4 linked regions of the Caenorhabditis elegans genome follow. The protein of the gene in region 2 purifies or fractionates together with the protein of the main gene of each other region. This does not show direct contact. Each region holds a gene or a part of one and is shown on either strand. Other genes may lie near its edges. The genes, in order: ran-5, ran-1, xpo-2 and ran-4.

Evidence for each region.
Region 1: the proteins of ran-1 (region 2) and ran-5 fractionate together in Caenorhabditis elegans (co-fractionation; one large-scale study listed by BioGRID). This does not show direct contact.
Region 3: the proteins of ran-1 (region 2) and xpo-2 fractionate together in Caenorhabditis elegans (co-fractionation; one large-scale study listed by BioGRID). This does not show direct contact.
Region 4: the proteins of ran-1 (region 2) and ran-4 fractionate together in Caenorhabditis elegans (co-fractionation; one large-scale study listed by BioGRID). This does not show direct contact.

What each region holds. Positions count from the first base shown.
Region 1 is NC_003280.10:6,046,200-6,050,330, reverse strand, and holds ran-5 (RanBD1 domain-containing protein), read right to left. Parts: upstream 2,223-4,131; 5' UTR 2,221-2,222; coding exon 2,154-2,220; intron 2,105-2,153; coding exon 1,992-2,104; intron 1,943-1,991; coding exon 1,787-1,942; intron 1,739-1,786; coding exon 1,604-1,738; intron 1,557-1,603; coding exon 1,442-1,556; intron 1,396-1,441; coding exon 1,304-1,395; intron 1,255-1,303; coding exon 910-1,254; 3' UTR 645-909; downstream 1-644. Other genes in the region: R12C12.6 (Transmembrane protein 9), read left to right, coding at 2,464-2,667, 2,719-2,858, 3,432-3,775, 3,831-3,928.
Region 2 is NC_003281.10:10,746,081-10,749,618, forward strand, and holds ran-1 (GTP-binding nuclear protein ran-1), read right to left. Parts: upstream 1,649-3,538; 5' UTR 1,647-1,648; coding exon 1,529-1,646; intron 1,481-1,528; coding exon 1,355-1,480; intron 1,308-1,354; coding exon 1,186-1,307; intron 1,139-1,185; coding exon 950-1,138; intron 903-949; coding exon 810-902; 3' UTR 501-809; downstream 1-500. Other genes in the region: rib-2 (Exostosin-like-3 homolog), read left to right, coding at 55-206, 259-445; dkc-1 (Putative H/ACA ribonucleoprotein complex subunit 4), read left to right, coding at 2,362-2,409, 2,468-2,554, 2,597-3,075, 3,125-3,538. UniProt on the Caenorhabditis elegans protein: Ran GTPase system comprises ran-1, ran-2 and ran-3 and is essential in nucleocytoplasmic transport. Ran-1 is a GTP-binding protein that mediates the interaction between mitotic chromosomes and kinetochore microtubules.
Region 3 is NC_003279.8:317,986-325,379, forward strand, and holds xpo-2 (Exportin-2), read right to left. Parts: upstream 5,368-7,394; coding exon 5,158-5,367; intron 5,109-5,157; coding exon 4,800-5,108; intron 4,404-4,799; coding exon 3,090-4,403; intron 2,433-3,089; coding exon 1,753-2,432; intron 1,144-1,752; coding exon 840-1,143; 3' UTR 564-839; downstream 1-563. Other genes in the region: nol-14 (Nucleolar protein 14), read left to right, coding at 5,875-5,949, 5,994-6,255, 6,304-6,668, 7,314-7,394.
Region 4 is NC_003279.8:8,589,290-8,592,660, reverse strand, and holds ran-4 (putative nuclear transport factor 2), read right to left. Parts: upstream 1,447-3,371; 5' UTR 1,445-1,446; coding exon 1,348-1,444; intron 1,307-1,347; coding exon 1,215-1,306; intron 1,172-1,214; coding exon 1,073-1,171; intron 1,028-1,072; coding exon 914-1,027; 3' UTR 683-913; downstream 1-682. Other genes in the region: tmem-208 (Transmembrane protein 208), read right to left, coding at 1-45, 142-254, 309-426, 477-569. UniProt on the Caenorhabditis elegans protein: Facilitates protein transport into the nucleus. Could be part of a multicomponent system of cytosolic factors that assemble at the pore complex during nuclear import.

The sequences.
Region 1 (4,131 bases), on a different chromosome or scaffold from region 2:
GTACAAATCGAGAAATATCGTGGGTACACGTGTACTCCAATTGTTGATAAGATAAAAAAAATTCGACTTTTGATTTTATGATATTAAACGCCCGACGCGTGGTTAGATATTATGGGATAATTTCAAACTTTGAACTTCAAAGTTTAAACTTCAAAACTAAATTCAAAGGGGTTTATTACAAAGACGCCAAAAAACCGGTACCGGGTCTCAACGCGACAACTTTTTATTAAATGCAAGAAGGTGTGTGCACCTTTAAGGAGTACTGTAACTTCAAACTCTCATTGATGCGGAATCGATTTTTCCTCTAGATTTATAAAAATTGAAGTGTTTCGGTGTTATTTTAGAGTTTATAAATAAATTGATACAATTTTTTTTTAAGTATTAAAAATTGTCGTGACGAGACCGGCTACCGTATTTTAGGTGCAAAAATCGCGTTTGTTATACTCAAAATTGATATTTAACTACAAAAAAATCTTCTCCTACTGAAACAATGCTACAGAATTGACAAGGTGATAAATGATCATGGTGTTGCCAATTGAATTCTGAATCGATCACCCCACAACGATCGTTATCTCGCTCTCCTCCTCCTTCAGTAAGAGCGCCACTGATAACCGAAACGCCATTGTCTAAGTGTCTTCTTGATTGTATTTCTGCTTTTTATTGCAAACTCTTCTCTTTTTCACAAACCAAATATATTCGACAAACACATAAAACGGGATATATAAGAATAAAACGAAATTGGAAAGTTAGGCCAGATTGGTAGAAATCTAGAAGAAATTTTTAGCAATAAAGAAATTAGACTTAAGGGGAAATGATTTGAGTTGGGTGAAAGTTGGAGACCATTTTTGTGGGGATTGGAAGGAGAAAAAAGAGCACAGGGGAAGTTGAAAGAAGCAATGACTGATATGGTTATTCGGAAGGAGTTGAGCTGGATGCAGATTCTTCGGCAGCTGTAACAGCTGGTTTTTCTTCTTTCACCTCATCTTCTGTTGGCTTGTTTACAATGACAAATCCTTCATCAACTTGATCTTGATCACCTTCTTCTTCTTCCTTTCCATCCTTGATTTTAACAGTTGAAGCGTTCAGATCACAATCCGCTTTCCTCTTCCGACTATTCTCTCCCTTCTCCAATTTCAGCAGGTCGCTCATAATATTGTAGAATATATCCGAATCGGGGATCGTCTCAGTTTTGGTGAATCCGATTTTTAGAAGGAAAATCTGAACACCGCTGATCTCTGGTCCCATTGCGGAAATCTGTAAACAGTAACAATAAAACATATATTCATATAACATTAAAGCTCACTCGAATTCTCTTGTCGACCCGCTCCAAAAGCATATCAGAGAAAATTTTGGAATTTATGATGACACGAAGAGTACCGGAAGATGTTCTTGCCACTGAAAATAATTTTGAATACAATAAACTCTAACTATCAGTATTTACCAATTCGGTGGTGCGTCAGTCCGTTCTCGACTCGTTTGTTGATCCTGAGATTGCAGACACCCTTTTCAGAGTAGGCATTTTTCAATTTATCAAACGCCCAAATTTTGCAAGGAGCCTAAAGACAAATAAATAAAAATTATGTTTTAATGAATACTGCCTCACTTGGAAAATATTAGTATCGTTCTCTTCCCCGGTGGTGATTTCGACTGAACTCGTTCCGGCATGCTGCTTTTCGGCTTCCTTTGCTCTCTCCGCTTCTTGTTCAGCTTCCTTTCTGAAGTTTTTGGCTCCATTTTTCTGAAATTAACATTATGAATAGAAATATTGATTCGAAATATAGATTACATCGTCATCTTTTTTAACTGCATTTTGGAAGAGCTCAGTTGCTGTCATGGTCTTTTCGTCTGAACCACCCGGCTTTGTTGAATCACCTTCTTTGTTCACAACACGATCTGATATTTTGGAGCCAAAAACAAATGCTTGTGGAGCCTCTTCGACTTCCTATAATTAGAAGAAAACGAATTTTTTGACTCATTGTGTTTCAACGAACTTTTTCATTTGCAACAGGCGCATCTGCTGATTTCGGAATAATATCGCCCAGCGATTTCTTTTCCAAATGAACGTGGTTGATTGTTGAATGAGTTGCTGTGTATTCTGTTTTGCCTGCAAATTCACGTGACTTAGATAACATAACACAAAATTGAAAACTTACTATCTGACCACAGTTTATCTGCCTTGGCAGCTAAAGCAGACGGTTTGAAAGCAAAACCTTTTGACATGACTGAAAATAGTAACGAATGAATTAAAAAAGACAAATACCGGATAGAAATTGCAAAAAAAATGCGAAAAATCGATTATTAGTATTCATGCAGACTGAAATGAAGATAATTAGCAAGTAATTTAGACTGAGAACTGAAAAATTACTCAACAAGCAGAAGAAAAATTGAAATTTAAGACAAAAATAAGTGCAAGTTTTTATTTCTTCGATTTTCGTTGTGAACATCATAAAAGTGAAACGAAGAATGCGTCAGCCATCGCGAAAAGCGCCAGTAAGTTGCACTGGCGCACTTCTTGTTTTACTTGTATTCTATTTTTCAGAGCATTTTTTATTTTCTTGCAAAAATAAAAAAAAATACAGTCCAACTTCCGTAATTTTTTCAGATTTAATGATATATTTATTTATTGCTTTACTGTTTCTTCCCGCATTATCCCAAGCAGGGACTGAGGTTTGTTTCATAACTACTTTTATAAAGATATAATTTAATAAATATTTTCAGGCTAACTTCGAAGATACACGATGTCGATGCATTTGTCCGAGTCTTTTAAAATTTCTCGACTTGGCTGAAAATACAACTGAAAAAACAGAAGGATTGAGGAGACGATTTTATACAAAAACTAACATCGAACCGAGCCATTGGTGAGTTTTTTTAATTTTAAATCTGAATTGTTTTAATAGAAAATATAAAATATCAAATCCGAATATGTAAATATCTCCTAGTCACTCTGATATTTTTTGCTAAAAATCCACATCAAAAATAACTTGGCAGAGTTATGAAATTCTCCCACCTTTATGGTATTATTTCGCTCAAAGCAATTGCAAATTTGAATTTCTTTTTTTCATCGAAATTTGAACGTTTCCGACTGTTTTATAAACGTTAAAATTTGAGAAATTTTTGTGGGAACTTTAGTCACAGTTTTAATTTTTTCTCTTTCAGAAAACCACAAATATGATTTAGAAAAACAATTATTTTTATTTTCTATTGCTGAGAATCTACATCGTTGTAAAAATTCGAATAAAAATAAATCATAACCATGAAATCTCGAATTTCTAAGTCTTTATTTTCCTTCCATTTCATCAAAAAAACATGTTGATCAGTTTTAAAACATTTTCAACACTTATTTTTTTAATTTTTTTCAACAGCTCAAATTCATCATTTACACAAATAAACCTTAAATTCGACAAAGAAATATAATTTTTCAAACATTTCAGCAAGCCAAGCAACATTGTGAAAGATCAAGTCAGTAACTTCGTTGACGAGACCCATATGGATGCATTTCTTGCAAATTGCGACTGCCGTTATGAGTCACGAAACACTGTGCTCTTAAAAGTAGTTGTAATATTTGTAATCTGTGTGATCGCTGTTTTAACGGGATACATGGTATTCCTTATGTGCCTGGATCCAATGCTCCGGAAGAAACGATTATCGATCAGTTATCAACAACATAATGATGAAATGGAGGATAATATCTTTGCTGCTGCTCCATCAACTGACGATGAATCATCTTCAGCAAGTAATTCAATGGATACACAAGGAACCACACGTGCGAGAAGTAGTAAGTGCTCCATTTGAAGATTTTATAGTTTTTACTAAAAAAGTATTTTCTTCAGATGTTCTCGGACGCGTCGAGGCCGAACAGAATCGTTGGATGAAGAAGGTCGAGGAGCAACGAAGGAATATCTTCGAAGATCATACAATGCTCAACTAGTTACTTTTCAATCAAAAGGGTTTAAAAATCATTCATAATTTATTAAAACCGTATGATGTATATTTTTGTCAAATACTTTGCCAACAATTTTTCACCTTCATAAACACTTTTCTCATTACCTGTTAAACAATGACAGTTAAATAACGGAGGGGTCAAAGCGAAATAGTGACGTCTGCGTCTCTAATCTCTTTCTTATGTCCCTG
Region 2 (3,538 bases):
AATTCCCGCGTCTGGGTAAAACCCGTATAAAATCTAAAACGTTAAAAATTTCAGAACTATTTGACTGCTTACACCTACGAAATGCCAGCTGAAATTCGTGAACATGTGAATAGCATCAAAAACTGCGAGGACATTGCTATGAATTATTTAGTTTCTCATCTCACACGAAAACCGCCAATCAAAACGACTTCTCGATGGACGCTCAAGTAATTTCCAGATTTTAAATGAGTCTAATCTAATAATAATTTCAATTTTCAGATGTCCAACTTGCACGGAAAGCTTGTATAAAGAAGGGACACATTTCGAGAAACGCCACGAATGTATGCGATTGTTCACGAAAATCTACGGCTACAATCCTCTGAAATTCTCCCAATTCCGTGCTGACTCGATTCTTTTCAAGACGCGTCTCCCACAGAATCATCAAAAGTGCTTTAAATATGTGTAAAAAAATCCCCCTCTGCATTTGCTCACTTTCCCTATTGCCGGTATAATTCACTTGTCGAATGGTGCTACAATTTATTGCAACAAGTTGTTTAAAATTTTTTAGTCGAACATAAAATATAAAATAAATCATGGAGATTGAGAGTGATGAGCCAACCATTTCTTCAATTCATTCGCACAACGATCAAACAGCAAATGTACAATCCTTCTTCTACCCAAGCCAGCACTTTGAATTGTAGACACCGGTTGGGTATGCAAATTATTTTTAAGTTAAGAAATTAATTGGCATATGAAATGTATAAAATGGTAAATTTAGGTGGGATGGTTTTGTGAGATTTGAAAACAAGGATTTTGAAAGGTTAAAGTGTTTAAAGATCATCGTCGTCATCTGGAAGATCAGCCTTGGCGGCGTTGTCCAGATCCTTTTCGTATTCGGCAATCATGGCTGGGTCCATTTGAACCTGGAAATTAAAATATTGCTTATGAAAGAACATGGATTTAAAAATACCTCTGGAGGAGCCAAAGCTGGCATTGCGACAAACTCGAGGTTTGGATCTCCGAGCAGCTTTCTGGCGAGCCAGAGGAATGGCTTTTCGAAGTTATAGTTCGACTTTGCGGAGATGTCGTAGTATTGGAGGTTCTTCTTTCGGTGGAAGGTGATGGTCTTGGCCTTCACTTTACGGTCCTTGACGTCGACCTGAAATTTGTAATTGAATATATTGGCCAGTTTCAGCTAGTGATTACCTTATTTCCGCAGAGAACAATTGGAATGTTTTCACATACTCTGGCCAAATCGCGATGCCAGTTCGGGACATTCTTGTAGGTGACACGAGCGGTAACATCGAACATGATAATGGCGCATTGTCCTGGAAATTGGGCATTTCAGAAGTTATAATTTCGAATTTTAACATACCTTGGATGTAGTATCCGTCACGAAGACCACCAAATTTCTCCTGTCCGGCGGTGTCCCAAACGTTGAAACGAATTTGTCCGCGATTGGTGTGGAAGACAAGTGGGTGAACTTCGACTCCGAGAGTGGCTGAAAACAATTATTGAACTGGGAGAAACAAATTCCTGAATTACTTACCAACATACTTCTTCTCGAACTCTCCAGTCAAGTGACGTTTAACGAAGGTAGTCTTTCCGGTTCCTCCATCTCCGACAAGGACAAGCTTGAAAGTTGGGATGCCGTCTCCACCAGACATGACTGAAATGAGGAGATGAGGAGAATAAAATACGAAGGAAAAAGATTGTCAAGAGGAAAATAGCACGAAACTTTTCGAAAATGCGAATTATTGCGAAATTCTACGTATTACCGAAGCTTCAGTTGAAAATCACGAAGCGGTGGATAAATATTTCAAAAACAAGAATGTTCGGATAATGTGTATTTAGAATTGAGCAAAAAAGTTTTAGAAGAGACGTGAAGCTGAGCAGAGAGATTATCTCGTGATCAGAGCTTGCTCATGGAGCAAAATCAGAGAGAACTCGAAAATTACAGTGAACCAACTGAGGAAACAACGCAAATGCATCAAAATGAATGAAAAAACCGAAAAAAGATGACAAAACTTGGCGCCAGGGACAAGAAAAGTATTCGAAAATGGCGCAACAAGCCAGATTTGCGCGCCAAAATGAACAAAATTCGAAAATGTTTTTGCGTAGAACCCCGTGTGTGTTGAGGCATAGGGGCACACACGCAGCCTGTGTCTCTTTCGTCTGGCACACTGCCAATGGGGGTTTCTTCTCTCGTTTTTCAAAAAATCGATAGTTTTCTGGCAGGTTTTCTGCTTCTTGACACTTTCCACGAGCTTATGAGGCATATTTGGAGTTCATTAGAACCTTATTAATCTTTAAACTCTTGTTAATCGCTTCAGAACTGTTGGATTTTGTCAATAATGTTATTTTTTCAGCGAAGATCTCATCATGGGCAAGAAGGATAAGCGTTCCAAGCTTGAGGGAGACGATCTAGCTGTTAGTTTTTAATTTTCAAGCCATTTATTAAATATTGAGTACATTTTCATTATTTCAGGAGGCTCAACAGAAGGGATCATTCCAACTTCCATCCTCGAACGAAACCGCCAAGCTCGATGCTTCCCAGTGGCCACTTTTGCTCAAGGTAGTTGAGTGATCTCATTTAAAAATTAAATTATTATTTCAGAATTACGACAAATTGAATGTGCGCACCAATCACTACACACCACACGTCGAGGGAGTATCACCATTAAAGCGTGACATCAAGAACTACATTTCGTCTGGATTCTTCAATCTTGACAAACCATCGAACCCATCTTCTCACGAAGTCGTGTCCTGGATCAAGAGAATTCTTCGTTGCGAGAAGACCGGACACAGTGGAACACTCGATCCAAAAGTATCGGGATGTCTGATCGTTTGTATCGACCGTACCACTCGTTTGGCCAAGTCGCAGCAAGGAGCTGGAAAGGAATACATCTGCATCTTCAAGCTCCACGAGGAAGTTGAGGATGATCGCAAGGTGAAGCAAGCCCTCGAGAAGCTCACCGGAGCCCTCTTCCAACGCCCACCACTGATCTCAGCTGTCAAGCGTCAGCTTCGTATTCGTACCGTTTACGAGAACAAGTTCATCGAGTATGATCCAGCTCAACAGATGGGAATTTTCAAGTAAGAATCCTTATAATAAATCTAATTTCTAGTTTTCATTTAATTTCAGCTGCATCTGCGAGTCGGGAACCTACGTTCGTACAATTTGTGTGCATCTCGGTCTCATCCTCGGATGCGGAGGTCAAATGCAAGAGCTTCGCAGAAACAGATCCGGAATCTGCGATGAAAACGAGAATATGGTCACAATGCACGACGTTCTCGATGCTCAGTATCTCCTAGACACCCAGAAAGACGAGAGCTACATGAGACACATCGTTCGTCCACTTGAGGCTCTTCTCACCCAGCACAAGAGAGTTGTTGTCAAGGACAGTTGCATCAACGCGATCTGCTACGGAGCCAAGATCCTTATTCCCGGAATTCTTCGTTACGACGATGACATCGAGGTTGGCAAGGAGATCGTCATCATGTCGACGAAGGGAGAAGCCATCTGCATCGCTATTGCTCAGATGAACACATCAACGAT
Region 3 (7,394 bases), on a different chromosome or scaffold from region 2:
TGAATAATAACTTACTTTTCGACGTTTTTTGCCTTTGTCCGGTTTAATCCATCGAATTTCGAAGCGGTTTGCGTAGATTAGCTGAAAACATTATGCTTATTCCACGTAGTAACAAGAAAAAACAAGAAAAAATAAGAAAAAACGAAGAAAAATAAGCATATAAGTCAAATTAAAAATGTTTATTCGATCAAAATTCTTAACCATAGGAGGCGGTGGCTAGCCGGCGCACTCTCGCGGCCACGTTAGCTTTGCCTCCCCGTGGAAAGGAGCCATGATATTACGGAAACACTATTTGAATTCTGAGAACGCGAAATATCTCGTAGCGAAAACTACAGTAACCCTTTAAATGACTACTGTAGCGCTGGTGTCGATTTACGGGTTCGATTTTTAAAATTATTTTTTTTGTTTTTTGTGTGCGTCATCGATTACTAAATTATAAATTATTTCCGTAAATCGACATACAATCGCTACAGTATTCATTTAAAGAATTACTGTAGTTTTCGCTACGAGATATTTTGCGCGTCACTCCTTCAGGCACCACATCTTACACTCAAAATCGAGGTGAATTTCTGTGTATTTGACAGCAAAAATGTCGTGAAAAACAATTAAATAAGGCAATTTGAAGAGGAAAAAACTGGGGCAGATGTGAGATAAGAAGAAGAAGAAGCGGGGCTTCGACAACCGTAAACTAATCAGAGATGGAAAGTGAGAAATTTGAAATTTAAGACAAAAAAGTTAACAACGGGGGATTTTTTTTAGAGAGAAAGAGCGAGTAATCGGGCAGCAGCAGAGAAAAAAAAAGATAATAAACAATTGAAAAAATATAAATATCGGGGAAATTATTGCTGAATAGACTGCAAATAGGTGACAATCTCGGGCGGTACAGAACGAAGTGTCTCTGGACAATTTCCGGGTCCACGGACAAGAACGGCCTGCGCAAAGTAGGCCTTGTGGTTGGCGATGTTGGCGGCGACGGGCGGTTGCTTGGGAGCGTAACTCAGACGACAGAATGGGTTCACAAATTCTCCCTCGGCGTTGTACATTGAAGCTTGCTCTTCTTCTGGTGATAGGACGGCTCGATCGGAGGCTGAAGCAGCTTCCAGCAGCATTGCCACCTCGTATGACAGAATTCCGTATTGACCACTGCAAAAAAAATTTATATGAGAAATTGAATTTAAAATGATTTTATTTGTAATTTTGTTTTTGTTAATTGTCGTTAATTGTTTTTTTTTTGAGAAAAAACCGAAAAAAAAATTAAAATCTTCATTTTTGATTTAATTTTTTTGTTGAAAAATCGGCAGTTTTCGATTTTGTTTTTTTGAAAAAATAGGGAAAAGTCGGTAATTGTCGATTTTTCAAAAAACTGAAAATTCCAGATTTTGTCAGGAAAAAAAACGAAGAAATCGACAAAATTTCAATTTTATTTTTTTAAATTTGTGTTTTTCAAATTTTTTTTTGATATGTGATTTTTAACTTTTCTCTGGAAAAAAACCGAAAATTTGCAATTTTTCAATTTTTTCCAAAAAAATCTTTAAAAAATAGAAAATTTTCGTTTTTTTTTCTGAAATATTTAAAAATTGTAACTTTCTATTTTTTTTAAACCCGTATTAAAGTTTAAAAAAAAAATCGGAGAAAAAAAAACTGAATCGAAAATATGTGATTTTCAATTTCCTTTGAAAAAAATATAAAAAATCGAAAATTTTCGTTTTTCGATATTTTTTCTGGAAAAAAGCCTAAATTTTCATTACTAACACAAGCTGCTGCGTGACATCGGCTAGCAAATTGCCCATTCCAATGGCAATAATCCGTTTCTCAGGCCCCGTTGTCGTTTGTTTCAGACCTGGCAAATCAATGCATACGACCTTCTCGATGAGCATTCCGAACATGCCAGTCTGAATATTCTCACACGATTGAACAAGATCCTGTGCACTCCGGGCGATCGTAAATCGACACAAGAACACGATGAATAGCTTCATAAACTTGGGTGTCTTCGACGATTGAACTCTTCGAAACATTGTATTGAGCACAAATGTCATCGCGGAACCCTCGAAGTGCTCAATCGACGGAAGAATCGTCGCCGCCAACTGGAAACCGTATTGATCCAAGGTTTTCGAGCCCAAAAGCCGCGCCAAATGGCTCAAGATCAACCCAGAATTCTCCGAGACGACTCGCTGAGCATTCACGGAAAGGATCACTTCGAGAACCGAAAGTGCCGCTGGAACATTCGCTGATCTCGCCCAAAGACGTTCGGATAGCAGAAACGGAAGGAACGGTGAGAATTGATCGATCGATGAGTTTCTAGCGATACATGAGGAGACGAGAACTCCCGTGATTTGGAGAGCATATGGGATGAGATCTTCCAAATCCTCGCGGAAGATCACTTCGATCAGTGGAAGGAGTTGAGCATCCAGTGAGGCGCCGATTGTTCGGGTCTGGAACAGGAAATTCGTTAAAAAATATAAAATGTTCTTAAAATTGCTATCACTTTTTTTTTGAATAAGAAAAAAAATCACAAAAAGGAAAACACGAAAAAGCAGACAAATGTTTCGATTTTGCAATTTTTAATTTTTTTTTTTCAGAAAAAAATTATCGATTTCTTCTTTAAAAAAAGAAGATTCTTTTCGATTTTTTCGGAAAAAAACATCGAAAAATTGAAAAACAAAAAGTTTTGATTTTTTTTTCAGTGAAAATCGTTCAATTTTTCGGGGTTTGTTTCGACAAAAATAATTAAAAACTAAAATTTTTCAGTTTTTAGGTTTCTTATCAGAAAAATTGAATTTTTTCGATTTTCCGAAAAATTAAAAAAAGGTATATTTTTTGAAAACACGAAAACGGAAAAGTGTTGGTTTTTTGTAAATTTTTGCGTTTTCCAGCAAAATTGCCAATTTTTCCGAAAATTTTCAGATCGAAAGTTAAATTATCGATGTCTATTCCAATTTCCGAGTTTCAGCGAATTTTTTTTTGCAGAAAAATTTCAGAAAATTTGACAAGTTATGTTCCAATTTATGAAAAAAAATTTGAGACCAAAGTGCGGCACGGAAAAATGGGCGGAGTTTAGAGTGGTATTTTTCTCTCAAACTACTCCTTACCTTGGTGATCAACACACAAATCGTCTCAAACAAAAAGTGCGTGTGCACCGAATCCGCCGGATTTTTCGTCGCCGACTCGACCAACTGTGCGAGCTTGACCGCAATCGCGTCCGCATGCCGAATCGTGTCGTCATCGAGAATCACAATGATCCTCAAAATCGCCTTGATCAGATACGGCGAGTTTTGCGCTTTGGCATCCTTGTCGAACGCGGTGACAAGGTTCTGAAGGATCGAGGAGACTGGAAGATTTTGAGCCGAGAAGATTTTGTTGGAATCAGCGAGAAGGATCTTTTCAATAGCGTAAGCTGCGTACTTGTGCAGAATCGGAGTATTCGAGCTGAGAAGAGCGTCCGCCGACTTGATCGCAGTCATAAGGTGCTCTGGAGCCAGCTGTTTCCTGAAAGTGACCGCAAACTTCAGTGCATCAGCTTTAAGGATCGGAGTTTGATTGACATCGGCGTTGAGATGTGTGGCCACTTGTGTGATGAAGAAGTCGTTGATGTCCACCAGCGGGTTCGTCGCCGTTACTCCACTCTTAGCAGTCTCCGTCTTCACCGCGATCGCCGTGATCAGCGAGTAGACAATGTCGATCTTGATCCAATCACCACTTCCCAGCAGGTTCTGCACGATCTCCCCCAGACATGGAAGCATTTGCGCCTCGAATCTTCGGCAGAGACCTCGCGCAAGATCGATGGCTCCACGGCGTCGAGTTCCTACATCGGTACCCTCGATGTCTCGCTTCATATAATCCAGTGGCTCATCCTCGAACAGTTCCATATCCTGTTGACGAAGCAGAAGGTTCTGAACGCACACGTTCTCGGCGAGAGTCTTCAGAACGCCTTCACCAGTGAAGTGTCCCTCGTAGTACTGTCGCTGGCTGACCATCGACAGAAATTCCAGCGCGGCGCACACCATCGTATCGTATCGAGTGTCGGGGCCGGTAGACTTGAGCAGATTCCAGACGGCAAGGATGATGTCGGGCACGAACTCGGAGATCTCCTCCTCGTAGCGTTGCGAGTAGAGCGTGAAGATCTCACAGATCTCGTGCTTAAGCTCGTCCAGAGTTGTAGGTTCTCCCGAGTTGGAGGTCTGCGTCGGCGCGTCGATTTGCACGAGATGCAAGAAGTGTGGCATCCAGTCCTTGAGATGATCCTCGAAGTATTCCGGAATCTCCTGTGAGCACAGAGAATGGTAGACTTTTGCAATGAGAAGTAAGACTCGGAGCCATTGGGCGATCTCGTCGGCTCCGAGTTGATCCTTCCGCTGTCCCACCTCCATCATGTTCCGTAGCAACAGAGTTAGAGGCTCTTGGGTCTGAAAAATCGGTTCTTTTTATTTGTAACTGAAAAATCTGGGGAGAAAACAGTTTTTCGGTCCAAATTCGAGACTGACATTCAGATTTCTTCAATTTTTTGGCTCAAAAATTTTGAAAATTTGTCCATTTTTATAGGAAAATTATCAATTTTCGCCAAAAATTCCTCATTTTTGCTTTAGTTAAAATTTTTGACTAAAAAATCATAAAATGTTGAATTTTTCACGATTTTTCGGAAAACAAGGCCAGCTTTAGCTAGCTTAAATGTCTAATTTTGGTCATTTTTTAGGGTCAAAGCGGACAAAAATTCAACTTCCGACGGCTGCGACGTAAAAAAGTGGCCAAAATTGGGGATTTTAGCTGAAATTAGCCAAATTTTGAGCCAAAACGCAACTCACGCTCAGTAGACACTTCTTCAGCTCTTTCCAAAGCTCTGCTGACTTGGATTCGAATCGGAATTTGCGGAAAATCTGCTCCATCGACGCCAGCGAGGCCACCAGGTGATTGAGATCCGCTCCGTTCAGGAATTTCGACAAATATGGAACCAAATCTGGCCATTTTTCGGGAAAATCTCTCTGAGCGATGAGATACAGAGCATTGGACAGGATTTCCTGAACATTTGATTTTGTATTGAACATCGCTTCGAGAAGCATGCTTCTGAACTGCTCCTCGTCTTCCTGGCCCATTTCTACCTCTGGTGCCGGGCCCTGAAACAATTTAAATATAAAATTCACGCATTTATTCAAATTTTCCAACCCAATTTCTCTTCACAAAATTTTTCAAAGCGACAGCCGCGGCGATTCGGATCTGCGGAGCAATTTGTTGCTGTTCGTTGACCACCAGTTGAAGAATTTGAATGATATAGCCTGGATTTGATTGCAGCGAGCGGAGCGCTTCTTCTCCACGCTTGCGAATCGCAGCATCCGGCTCCAGAGTCTGCTGGAGAGCTGCTCCGATTTGCTCCATCTGAAAATAGGGAAAAATAGCTGTTTTGGGGGTGAAATAGGGAAGAATTAGGTGAAAGGACAAAGATAGTTTAGCTTAAAACTTGAAATCTAAAATTTCCGGTCAAAATATTAAAGTTTTACGCAATTTTTCGCAGGCCCGCGGGGAATAAACTCGCAAAAATTCGCAAAAATAAAAAAAAAATTTCAAAAGTGTGAAGTGTTTGCGTACAGCGCACCCGACCCGACGCGCAAATTTTTTTCATTATGTTCTCTGTTTTCACTGATTTTTACTGATTTTTCCTAGTTTTCCCTTGATTTTCTTCAAATTTTCCACTTTTTCAGCAAAACGTGCATAAAAAAATAAATTAAAACATTTCAATTTTCAAAACTTTGCAAAATAAAGGCGTCGTTGCGTACAATGCGCACGACTTGACGCGCAAACTTCCCAATTTTTATTCTTAAATTTTCCTGGATACCCCTGGTTTTTTCTCTGTTTCCCCCCTAATTTTTCGCATTTTCAGCAAACATGGGTGTTGATAAAAAGCAAAAGCAACGAAAAACCAATCCATTCGAGCTAAAATTCAACAAATCCAAGCATGACGTGAGTTTTTCAGAGTTTTGAAGAAAAAATCGATTTTCTCGCAGATTCTCGGCCGGAAAAAGGGCGCACAAGTTGGAGCACCGACTGCGTCACGAAAACGAGCTCACGAGCAACGTGAACAGACGCTAGGCGTAGAATATGACCGGAAAAATAAGATTAGCAAAATTGTCGACAAACGGCTCGGCGAAAAGGACGGAAAAAGCGAGGAGGAGAAGGGCGCGATGAGATTCACAGAGGAAAGAGTCAAAAATTATAAAAGAGCATCGAAATTCAACTTGACAGATGATGGAGATGAGGAGGAAGAAGGTTTATTCCGAAATAAATTGAGAAAAATTTTAATAAAGTAAATTTCAGTACTTACTCACAAGGGAAAAGCGCTCTCGGACATTGAAAAATACGACAAATCGATGATTTCCGACTCGGATGACGATGAAGAGCCGGGAAATTTGGGCTCAAATATGGTAAAAGTGGCTCATTTCGGTGGTGGAGAGAAGACCGCCGAGGAGCACGTCCGCGAAAAAATCAGCCGAGAGGATATGATTTCGAATTTGATTGCGAAAACGAAGCTGGCGCGTCACGAGAAGCAACAGCAGAAGGATGAGCTCGAGCTGATGACAGAGTCGTTGGATTCCAAGTATCAGGCTTTGATGGGCAAAATGAAGGCTTCATTTAGGCCGACCGGGCGCCAGCCGCTGGAAAAAGATGATTACGACAAATTGGTACGGGAAACATCCCGGTTTTCTCCAAATTTTTAAGATAAAAGATAATTATAAATTTAGAGTGAAAATCGATTTTTTTCACAATTTTTTAGTGGAAAACCTAAAACCCAAAAAACTTGATCTGAAAATGCTAATTTTTAACCATTTTTGCTATGGAAATTGGAAATTTTCATTAATTTTGCTGTAAAAGTTGAAGAAATCCAAGTTTTAGCTTTGTAATCAGAGAAAACACTGTAAAATTATTTCGGAATTTGTGCAATTTGAAGTGAAAAATAAAACATTTAACTTCTTATCGCGAAAGAAATTGAGCTGAACTGAGAATTTTTTTGACGAAAAATCATTAAAAAGTCAATTTTTTTGACAAAAATTCGAGAAAAGTCGGTTTTTCTTTTGACAAAAATGACGAAAAAGGCAATTTTTAATTTAAAAAAATAAATTTTTCGCCGAAAAATAACTTTAAAAAAGTCGTTTTTTTACAAAATAAAACAATTTAAAATAACTATTTTTCGACAAAAAAATTAAGAAAAAGCCAATTTTTTTGTTTAAAAAATGATAGAAAAAGGCTTTTTTTTTGTTTCTTCGCCTAAAAAATCAAGAAAAATAGGTTTTATTCCATTTTTTATCCAAAAATTATTATTTTTCCAGACAATCACCTTGAAAACCGAAGCCGACGCTCGTGCCACCCCAGCAGATCGTAAGCTATCCGAAGAAGAAGAAGCTCTGAAA
Region 4 (3,371 bases), on a different chromosome or scaffold from region 2:
GGCGAGGAGCAAAAGGAATCCGTATGTAGAATAGAGTGAGATGATCTGGGAACAGAGTAAATTATACATTTGAAGATAGAATATTTCATTTTTGAACTATTAATGCGCACTTTCCCACACTTTTTTTTTGCAAAAACTAACTTGAATAATGACTGTCAGAATAATGGCGTCTTTACAGTATTCTCCGAATGCTTCTGGATCGTTCAAATCGGCACCAGCATCCAAAACATGTCCTTTATCGTCAAGCTTTGCTTCTAAAATCATAATTTCAGATTAATACAAAAAATTAATGGGTAAGACAAACTTACTAGCTAAAGATTTCATGAAAAGAATAGCAAAGATCTGCACGAGCGCTGAGACAGCAAAAAATACATAATCGGTGGAAGAGCACTGGCTCAGAAACATACACGATGAATAGTAGATTGCCTAAAACAATTTTTAAAAAATCGTTGAAATGTGAAATTACAAATGTTTACCATGCTAATCGTGCTAGCCACACTATAAGTGGTGACAGTCTTCTGATTCTCCTCATAGATCTCTTTCTGCCCTTTTGTTGCTTGTTTCACCATCTGTATTTAATTTTTATATTTTTGAGGTCATTGCTGAAAAAGTCAAAGGTATTGTAAAGGTTGAAAAACCACTAATAATAACGAATTAAACAAAATTTTCTCGATATCTCGGAAAGAAAATGATAAAAACTTCATTCTTTAGTTTGAACCGATTTGCAAACTAGAAGTTTGAAATTGTGCGAAATAGTAAAACGACACGAAACTGTGTGGGGAAAGAAACCGATTTAGAAACATGGAAAAAGCCGGGTTGAAATAGATATTTAAGCAATTTGGTGAAAATTCAGTTCTTGAAAAATTGTTCAATACGGGGACACATTTTGATAGGAAAGTGGACGAATTGATATCTAATTGTTGTGCAAGTCAAGTCGGAAGATCTCGTTTCCGATGAAGTAGGAACCCTGATTGTTTGGACGGAGAATAAAGACTTGCGAGAAGGGATTGATTGGATCTTCGTCGGTCTGAATAATTTTTTTTCGGTTTTTTTGAAAACTACTTCTACTTACCTTGAGCTGACCAAGAACCATCACTTGAATTGATCCATCATACAGAGGCTGAGAGTCAATCACAGTGATCGCTCGTTGAATTTTTGTGAATCCGAGAGTCTAAAAGTGTTTCGTTATTGAACTCTCGTACTTTTGCACAAACCGTGAACTTTTGGAGAATTCCGTCACGGCCTTTCGCTTGCTGTCCTTCAAAAGTCATGTAAGAGTTTTCTGGGTCGTACAAATCGGAGAGTCCTGAAATTCACTAAGTTTATTGTTTTTTTCAGACGAAATACCTTGAGCACGACTCATTCCATCGCCAACATCGAACTTTGAGTAGTAATGTTGAATGAAGGCCTTTGCAACACTTTCGTAATCAGGATTGAAGCTCATTCCTTTAAAAACGACAAATTGGGAAAAATAATTGAAAAAGAGTAAAAATAAATAAGATAGGTAGGAAAAAGCAACGAAGAATACGATAATTTTCGAAACAATTGAATTATATATTTACTCGAGATGGGTTGTCTCAATAAATTTTGAAAATTAGTTGTTAGATGAGCAGTGGTCTTGCTCGCATTGAGAAAAATAAACAGCAACCAAATTGTTTTTTTTTAGTTTTTAAAGTTTAAACCCTCGGCCTCATGTTTCAGTTTTCGAAAGAACAGTATTGTCTTCCTGCGTTTTGTTCGTTCTTGGGAAGTTTAATTAAAAATAATTATGAATTATTTGATTCCTCACAAGAGAAAACCGATTAAAAAAAATAAAAATGCCTAAATAAATTGGAAAATCAGAATAAAATGGCAAGGTGCCAGCATCGCGCGCACATTTTGTAGCATAATCCAGCGGAGCGCGATTACTGCACAGAAAGCGAGAGAGTGTGTAAACGAGAGAGAACACGTTATGAGCAGAGAAATCGCCTTGTCGTCACTCTTTTTGTTGAAGAGGCGCAGAGAAAAAAGAGTTGGTTGGCTCTGTTTTTATGTCTCTTTGAGCTCGCCAAAATGGAAAACAGAGCTGGAAAAGCAACAAAATAACGACAAAACCACTGAAATTATGTTCCTCTTTTGTTGTTGCTCCATTTTTTATTTCTTTCCATTCTACCAATTGAATAAGAAGTTAAACTTTATTCTTACTCCGTAATGTTGGCATTTCAAAAATCAATTTTCTGTAATTTATAGAAACTTGAAATAATTTTCCATCTCTGCGCATCCTCATGCCTTAGCGAACACCATATATGTATGTTCTTTCACTCTTCCCTTTTCGGCACCTGACCAGTCTTTTGAAGCCAACGTTTTCTGAAAATAAAGAACCGTTACTATTATATTTTCACATCATCCAGAACTGAAATGATATCAATTTTCGAGAGCTCATTACATCAAACTCATCCAGTCACATTTATGGTTACCTTGGTAACAGTTCATTGACAAAATTAATGCAAGCAATTCCGAACTCATTACATACTGCTTCTCACATGATTATCAAAATTCTATGAGCGATACATATACTCAGTTAGTTTTCAAATGTAGATTTTTGTAATTGAAAGGAAAATAAGTAAGCCAAACATTTTAAAACTAAATTGTATACCATTTTGCTGACTGAATTTGAGCAAGCTTTAAAACTCCCAAATTTTTTTCTAAAAATGGAAGAAAATTTATGTGAACCTCTAACTATGTGTCGATTTACCCAGCTTGTGTAATAGTTCGAGAATCAAAATTTTTTTAAAGTTTTTGGTCTTGATTTTTGACAGTATTAATTACATCTTTCTCAAAAGGAAAATCCCATCCAAGATAAAACATTTTAGCCTGTAAAAGTTGTGAAATCGCCTTAGAAGAATATGTGAGCTTTTTTCAAAAATCTCAGTCACATTTTGGAAAACTGCCAGATTTTCTAAAGATTTTATTTTTAGTAATTCCGAGCATCTTGCAGGTTCATACAACGTTCAAATACAAATTATTGGAACGTAGTTCAAATATAAAACTTGTAGAAAAAGCAACGTAATTGTCACTGAATACGAAAACGTATAGCAAATTTTGAAAATGTTAACTATGATGTTCGCCAATTTGACCATATGAGTGATTTAATTTAAACCTTTAATTAAAATTTTCATGAATGTGGCCGAGTTTTTTCACATTCGCGGCCACGCAACGCAGAAATATGTACATGGGTACAGTAACCCCTCCTGTCGAGTTAAATATACTCTTATAGGAGAGAGCTCTTAACTATTCACATGTACGAAAAATAATAATATTTGCCAATTTTCTCGCTCTCAAAATTCCATTTGAAAGAGAGAAAAAACTGTTCTCGATACACGAAGAAACAT